Linked DNA regions of Macaca fascicularis. The protein of the gene in region 1 interacts with the protein of each later gene in a biochemical or structural test. Links are inferred from orthologs where the notes say so. Each region holds a gene or a part of one and is shown in the gene's direction. Other genes may lie near its edges.

What was found.
Region 2: the proteins of DTL (region 1) and KMT5A form a complex in vitro, tested with the Homo sapiens proteins (2 studies listed by BioGRID, with this or other methods). The link is inferred for Macaca fascicularis from reciprocal best matches to the Homo sapiens genes DTL and KMT5A.

What each region holds. Positions count from the first base shown.
Region 1 is NC_088375.1:69,843,371-69,847,776, forward strand, and holds the start of DTL (denticleless protein homolog), read left to right. Parts: upstream 1-1,480; 5' UTR 1,481-1,641; coding exon 1,642-1,693; intron 1,694-4,406. Other genes in the region: INTS7 (integrator complex subunit 7), read right to left, coding at 1,095-1,188. UniProt on the Homo sapiens protein: Substrate-specific adapter of a DCX (DDB1-CUL4-X-box) E3 ubiquitin-protein ligase complex required for cell cycle control, DNA damage response and translesion DNA synthesis.
Region 2 is NC_088385.1:130,533,654-130,537,504, forward strand, and holds part of KMT5A (N-lysine methyltransferase KMT5A), read left to right. Parts: intron 1-628; coding exon 629-848; intron 849-2,269; coding exon 2,270-2,357; intron 2,358-3,851. UniProt on the Homo sapiens protein: Protein-lysine N-methyltransferase that monomethylates both histones and non-histone proteins. Specifically monomethylates 'Lys-20' of histone H4 (H4K20me1).

The sequences.
Region 1 (4,406 bases):
GGGTTGTGAAATTTTTGTGTTTATCAGGAGGTAAAAGCTTTTATAAGAGCCTGAGAAACTCTTATTTAGACTAACCCACTAAAAATATTCACAGTTTAAAAAATAAACGGAAAAAGAGTCCCAAAAACGTTAATAGACATATCCAACTCAGAAAACTGGGAAGTGGCTCAAAGGGGACTTAAACAGAGATCCTTCTGAGTTCTAGTCCTGTTCTCCAACATTATATATTGGCTACGATTAATCAAGATTTAATTGTATACCAGCTGCCGAAATGTTTCCCGTACAATAAAAATCCTTAATATGAAACAGGTTTCATATCACCAGTCGAGTTCTTTACTGACAAATTTCCGACCTTGCGTCCCAAATCCATATCTATATCTCTTCAGCATTTACTAAATGCTTCTTTCGCATATCATTAAGTCACTTAATACAACAATTCTGCCAGCTCAATGGTACTGTACCCACTTGGTAGACGACAAACCGAGGCTAGATGAAATTAATCATAAAATTAGCGGCACTGAAATTTAACTCAGTGCAACCCCAAAGCTCCTTCTACACCAAACTGCTCCCTGTAAGCAAGGAAACAGAACTCCTGGAACTTGTCCGCAGAGAATGAGCAGGGCTTTTTGCATGGTCTCGGCCATGGTTAGCCTGCCTTGTAACCCGCAGGTAACAGAGCTACGGAAATCAAATGAATCGCTGTCAAGTCGGTGCAAGACAACTATTCAGCACATTTCATGATGACCTGGTCTCAAATGAACAGACTGAAAACCAATTTCAGAATTTCTTTGTAGTGTTTCTTAGAAACCAGCCACTGTCCACTGCTTAGAAAATAGGGGGCTGTTCCCTCAAGTGGTCAAAACGGGCCTCTCACTAGAGCTCGCCACTTGTTTAGCCGGTTAAGGCCAAACAATCCTGCAAATTTCCCGCAACCTCCCGAAGGGGTCAAAGCCCACGCCCCAGCAAAAGCACAGGCACTCCCCGCCCAGCGAAGATAGGCGCATGCGCCTACCCGTCCTCTGAAGCTACCACCACGTGGTGGCGCCACTTCCCCCCACGCCCGTTTCACCCATTCAGCCCGCTCTTTCGAATACCTTTGTCCAACTCCATAAGGGCAGAGTTGGCATCCAGTTCCTGTTCGCCATAGCCGGCATCTGCCAGGAAAGACTTAGTTGAGTTTGACGCCATGACCCGAATAGTTACTCGACTAGCCTAGTCAGAAAGATTGCAAACTCTACCCCAGAACCGCCATCTTCTCCCGCCGCCTTCTTGTTGGTTTTTCCTCCGCGCGCTGTCAAGCCCTGTTACGCATGCGCCCTGGTCACCCCGCGGTTCGCAGTCGCCTCTGCTGCCCTCTGCGCAGGCGCTCAAGGAGCTCTTGGACTCCAGGTTCCCGCGGCTGGGAGAAAAGGAGGCGGGGATCCGAAGGGGGAAATGACTCTGAGGCGCCCGGACGTCGCTCGGAAGCCAATCAGAGAGCGTGACGTCAGTTTGGCGCGGAGTTTGGCGGCCGGGGCTTACAGTGGCGGGAGTTGGAGGCGATAACGATTTGTGTTGTGAGAGGCGCAAGCTGCGATTTTTGCTGAACTTGGAGGCATTTCTACGACTTTTCTCTCAGCTGAGCCTTTTCCTCCGGCCCTGATGCTCTTCAATTCGGTGCTTCGCCAGCCCCAGCTTGGCGTCCTGAGAAATGGTGAGTAACGGTCCCAACCGCTGCTCGGGGCTGGCGGGATTCATCTACCCCGAAACACACGCCACCTCCGACCAGGGCCGACTCCAATTCTGAACTCAGCTTCTGAGTTCTCCCATGGCAAGGGTAAATTAGTGTTAGCTGGGACTACTGAAGAAAACTGTGCTTTCATCTCCTCGGAACACTTGTAATCGTAATCGGACTTTTAAAATCGTACGTAGGCATGGACGTCGAAATAACTGCCTTCCAAGGCCTCTTACAGCTTACATCTCCATTGCGCGTTAACGGGAAAATGCATGCATTTGTGTGTATATGTTTCTCTCAACAGTTATTTGAGATGGTCAAAACTCATACTCATTGATTTATTCATTCGTTTGTTGTAGAATCTTAGTGAGCCCAGCTATTTGCTATGGGTATATACCAGTGAATATGACCCACTGTTAAGGAACTCAGTCAAGCAGAGAAGACAGGATATCTGCTTCTAACAGGATCAAAATCTTTTTTTTCCCGTTTACTACATGGTCATAAACATTTAGAGTGAAAGATGCTTGTAACCACATCCGCCAGAGATGACCCCTGTTAATAGATTGAAGTATATTATTCCAGATGTTTTCGACGCTAGAGGTAATATCTATTATTTTCAGAAATGGGATCAAAATGTCCTGTTTTTTCACTTTAATGGTATAAGTTGAACGTATTCCCATGTTAATATGTAGAAATCTAACTTTCTTACGCTAAAACATTGGCAATAAGAGATTTGAGGCTAGGTTTGGGTGTCATCAACTTAAACTTCTTGGTAAGTTTCTGATAAGGATGGTAAGTAGGCAGACTAACCTTGGACAGAAATAAAATCTCACTCATGTGAACATCGACTATAGCCAGAGGTTCTTTTTCCTCTTGAAACCATGTGGAAAAGGAACCTGAGAAGGGAATTTTTATGTTCAGGGATGAGTCTAGGAAAATAATATTGAGAAAGAGACTGAGAAGTAGTCCCTCAACTTCCTGCTAGCAATCTGAAACTTTATACCATTCTTATTTCTTTCCCTCATAGATAATCTTTGTAATTATACTCTAAATGCTCCTCTTTCTCTTCTGGGACTTTGTTTGACTTACTTCTCTGTCCTCTGTTTAAGAGTGACAGTATGCACAGTGCTACCTGGGTTTTATTATACCTCCACACCTTACTATATGTGTGTCCTGGGGGAGCTGTTCAGACTGTTTTGTGACAGATTTTCTCCTAATTCTCCATGTGTTTACCTTTCCCTTCCCTCTTTCCTGTTCACAAGTACTCATTCGTTGTTACACAATAGACACTGAAATTCATTCACTATTATATGTTACCCACTGAAATCTATAGAATCATCTCCTTTCCTCTTCAGTGTTGGTGTTCCCTCCTTGGCCCCTTTTCTTCTTCTTCCTACTCCTTTGGATGATCACAGCCATAACCAGGGCTTCTTCCACTTCTATGTACATACAACTTTCTATTTCTTATATGGTAAGTTCTCACTTAATGTCTAGATAGGCTCTTGGAAACTGTGACTTTAGGGAAAACAATGTATAACTAAACCAACTCTACCATAGGCTACTTGATATAAACAAGAATTAAGTTCCAGTGGCATATTTTGGTCATACAAACACCACTGAACTTCTAAATAAAGACCCAAAACACTTTTAATATTAAATGTTGAAATAATTGTGTGCTATACATACATTTGAGAAAGATTAATAAAAACAAGTGAGATAATTATTTACCCAAGTTTGGCGTATCAGTGAGTGACCTCGGTCGTAGTAGTGGTGGGCTAAATCAAGGAATAAATGTTTGCAAACTGAAAATTGGAGCACCTCCTACAACCACCCAGTTCAAAAACAATCACAAATATGGCAGCTCACTGAGCCCTTTCATACCAAATCGTTTATTGTCATTCATTTGTATGATTATTGTAAAGTTTACCATTTTTATTATATAATTATTTGTATTCATTCATTTTCTGACACACTTATTCCAGCTCAGGACTGTGGGTGCCCGGAGCCTATCCTGGCAGCTCATGGTACAAGCTGGAAACCAGCTCTAGACCGGACGCTATTTCATCACAGGAAGCACTCACACACACCCATTGTCTATTGGGACCATGTAGACATGCCAGTGAATCTAACATACCCATCTTTGGCATGTGGGAGGAAACGAGAGTACCTGGAGAAAACCTCTGTGAACATGGGGAGAACATGTACAAACTCCACCCAGCCAGTGGCCTCAAACAGGAATTGATTTTTTTTCTCATGAACAGTATGAGGAAATGACATTGTACAAAATGATGTTATTGGAAGACTTCATGTACCTGAGATTCATTTCTGTAAAAGCTGTGTGGGTTGATTATCACGCAGACTGTCAATCCCACAAGCATCTCAAACTCAAATACCCAAAACTGAACTCAACTTCTCCCCCAAACCTGCTATATTACCAATTTTAGGGAGTGGCCTCATTATTTAAACCAGTTTTCCCAGCCAGAAACCTGAGTCAATTAAAGACTTCCTCATCTTCCTCATAGTTACACATTCAAAACATTTCGTTAAAATCTCTGTGATTATGCATCTTTACTGTATCCTGGATGTGTTCTATTTTTACCATTCCATTTCCCTAGGTTGGGCCCTAATGCCTTCTTGTCTGGATTGTAAGAAGTCTCCCAAATGGCCTCCTAGTTTATCTGTCTTCACTTTA
Region 2 (3,851 bases), on another chromosome or scaffold:
AAGGAAAACATGTTTTAAAAATGTAAGCAGTTTTCCAACACTGGCACTCCACAAGTGTTTTAAGTGACAGATCATTGCCGTGTGTCTCCTGATACCCAGGCCAGTCTGCTGGGGCACCATGCTGAGAACTGCTGTGAACCTGGGGCTTCAACCCCACTAGAAGGGGGCCTTCTTTTTCTTTAGAGTCTGAAATGAAGGGTGCCGGGCAGCTCTTGGGGAAGTTTCTGCTTTATCACCTTACTCCTGTCCCTTAATGCCGTCCCAGCCTTCAGGAATGGAGCTTTTGATCTGAGTCTGCAGCCTGATTCCTGAAAGTTATTGATCGAGCGCCCTTGCCAGCATCTCTGTCTCTGGTGCCTCTGCCTCACAGGCTCTCTATCTCCCACGTCAAGACACAGAAGTCTAAAACCTCTGTCCAGTGTCTTGGTCAAAAAATCGAGCTGGAGCTAGGCACTCCTCCCATCATAGCCCATAGCGGACACGGGGCTTAGCAGGCCAAGGGCACTCCTGCCTGACAAACCCAGGATCCTCTCTTCTCAAAGCCTGTCTTAGAATGCAGCTGGTGGTCTAGAAATTGAGAGACAGAGTACAGAGTAAACCCCTGTCTTTCCTCCACCTCCGCCTGCAGAGAAAAGAAATGCTGGGAATGCAGTACGGAGCGCCATGAAGTCCGAGGAACAGAAGATCAAAGACGCCAGGAGAGGTCCCCTGGCACCTTTTCCAAACCAAAAATCTGAAGCAGCAGAACCTCCAAAAACTCCACCCTCATCTTGTGATTCCACCAATGCAGCCATCACCAAGCAAGCCCTGAAAAAGCCCATCAAGGGCAAACAGGCGCCCCGAAAAAAGTAAGTGTCCCCTTCAGTCCTCTTCCTAACGTGGAGCAGTTTGGTTCCTCTGACCCCAGGGAAGCCTGCTCAGGTGCCCGTGGGGGTACAGTGGCCACCTCTCAGCCTCTCTTACGTCAAAGACTCAGATGCCCCGAGTTATCAGCAGGGATGCCACTGTTTGTCAGTTTCTGGATCTGGCATGGGTTCAGAGTTCAAGAGCCTCTCCTTCCTCCCCTCCTCACCCACCCCAGCATAAGCAGCCCTTCTTTTTTATTTTTTTTTATTTTTTTATTTTTTATTTATTTATTTTTTTTGAGACGGAGTCTCGCTCTGTCGTCCGGGCTGGAGTGCAGTGGCCGGATCTCAGCTCACTGCAAGCTCCGCCTCCCGGGTTTACGCCATTCTCCTGCCTCAGCCTCCTGAATAGCTGGGACTACAGGCGCCTGCCACCTCGCCCGGCTAGTTTTTTGTATTTTTTTTAGTAGAGACGGGGTTTCACCGTGTTAGCCAGGATGGTCTCGATCTCCTGACCTCGTGATCCGCCCGCCTCGGCCTCCCAGAGTCCTGGGATTACAGGCTTGAGCCACCGCGCCCGGCCAGCCCTTCTTTTTTAAATTTATTTTTTTGTTTGTTTTTTTGGTGGTTGGTGTTTTTTTGTTGTTGTTTTGTTTTTTTTTTTTTGAGACAGAGTCTCTGTCGCCCAGGTTGGAGTGCAGTAGTGCAATCTCGGCTCACTGCAGACTCCACCTCCTGTGTTCAAGCAATTCTCCTGCCTCAGCCTCCTGAGTAGCTGGGATTACAGGTGCGTGCCACCACGCCCTGCTTATTTTTGTATTTTTATTGGAGACGGGGTTTCACCATGTTGGTCAGGCTGGTCTCAAACTCCTGACCTCGTGATTTGCCTGCCTCAGCCTCCCAAAGTGCTGGGATTACAGGTGTGAGCCACCATACCTGACTTGTGTTTTTTGAGATGTGGTCTCATTCTATCATCTAGGCTGGAGTGCAGTAACTCACTGCAGCCTCAATCTCTTGGGACTAAGTGATCCTCCTACTTCAGCCTCCCGAGCAATTGGGACCATAGGTGTGCACCACTATGCCTGGCTAATTTCTTTCCTTTTTTCAGAGACGGGGTTTTGCTGTGTTGCCTGGGTTGGTCTCGAACTCCTGGGCTCAAGTGATCCTCCCGCCTCAGCCTCCCAGAGCATTGGGCTTACAGGCGTGAGCCACTGCGCCCAGCCAGCAGCCTGTCTTTGAAACTCCTCTGAGGCCCTCATGGGCAGGTGAACTGAGTGACCCACAGGCTCCAGTGGACAAAGGTGTTTAAGTGACATCATCTCCAAGGAGCTGTGTGCCTCCTTGGTGTGTGCCTTCTCCTAAGGAGCTGTGTGCCTCTAGGTTTTCAGTCCTGATATTTATTTTCTCCTCTTCCCCTTACCCAGAGCTCAAGGAAAAACGCAACAGAACCGCAAACTTACGGATTTCTACCCTGTCCGAAGGAGCTCCAGGAAGAGCAAAGCCGAGCTGCAGGTAGTTGCGTGCTTTAAATTCCAGTTCGTGGAGGGGCAGGGTGGCCCACTGGGCAGTGCTTGGCATGTGTGTGTGTGTGTCCTGAGCTTTGTTTTCATCAGCTTGAGGCAAGTCTCTTGGCCCTCTGGACTTGGTTTTCTCCTGGATCTATCGGGGATCCTCACAAAGCTTGTCCTGCCTTTCTGATAGGGTCACTGCAGGGCTTGGTTAAGATACTTGTGTGAAGGAACCTTGTGACTTGTGGCATGTGGCAGGGAAAGCCTGGCGCAACTGTGAAGGTGGATTTTCCAGGACTTGTTGGCAGAGCCATTGGGAGCCTGGGACTGTGGGAAAGCCTGCCTGTTCTTTCAGAGGCTTTTCTTATCTGTTTGCTGGAAGTTTCCATGTTGTGGCCCAGGATGGTAAAGAGCAGTGGCTTGGAGCCACTTGCTGGTTGCGTAGCCTCGGGCCAGTCACTTACCCTGTCCATGCCTTGGCTCTCCAGTCTGTAAAATGGTACAATAACGTAGTACCTGCTAGGACTGTGGTGAGCATTCAGTAAATGTGCGGGTGCAAGAGGAACCTTCAGAACCATGCTTGACACTCAGTAAGTGCCAGCTAACTGTTACTATCGCCACCACTGCTTCCTCAGCGTTGTCACTCCTGTCTGGTCTTTCCCATGCTACTGCCATGCTAGGAGCCTGCAGACCAGTGAGCAGCACCGGCTGGCAGGCCGGCTGGCCTGTGCGGGCCTCTGCTGCCTTTTTGCAGAGGGCTGAGCTATGCAGCAGGCAGTCAATATTTGCTGCAGTGAGGTGTGGTTATTGCTTTTCTGTGAAGGAAACCCAGGGCGTGGCAGGTCCCTCTGCTCTTCCCCCTCAGGGACACCTGGGGCTGCCCCTCCGCTCTCCTTCACCCCCACAGTGACCACCAGGTTGGGAGAGGCACTCAAGATTGCATCCTACACAGAGGTGGGGACCCCAGCTTTGGCAGTTTCAGCATTTCAACCCTCATGCAGACTCCTTCAGTGTTCTTGATGTTAAATGTTCAGATACACAGTGGTCTAGTATTCTTTCTCTTTTTCTTTTAATTGATGAAGCTTCATTAAAAAAAAAAAAAAAAGTCAATTTTCTTCCCCACAGAGAGCAGCTTTGGTTTTATTGCCTGAAAAAGGCAATGTCTTTCAGCCGAGAATGAGCTGTTTAAAACATTTGCGGCAGTGGGAGACTGTGCTAGGTCACTTTTTTTTTTTTGAGATGGTGTTTTGCTCTTGTTGCCCAGGCTGGAGTGCAGTGGCATGATCTCGACTCACCACAAGCTCCACCTGTTGGGTTCAAGCGATTCTCCTGTCTCAGCCTCCTGAGTAGCTGGGACTATAGGTGTTTGCCGCCACACCTGGCTAATTTTGTATTTTTTTTCTTTTAGTAGAGACCGGATTTGTCCATGTTGGTCAGGCTGGTCTCGAACTCCCGACGTAGGGTGATCTGCCCACCTGAGCCTCCCAAAGTGCTGGGA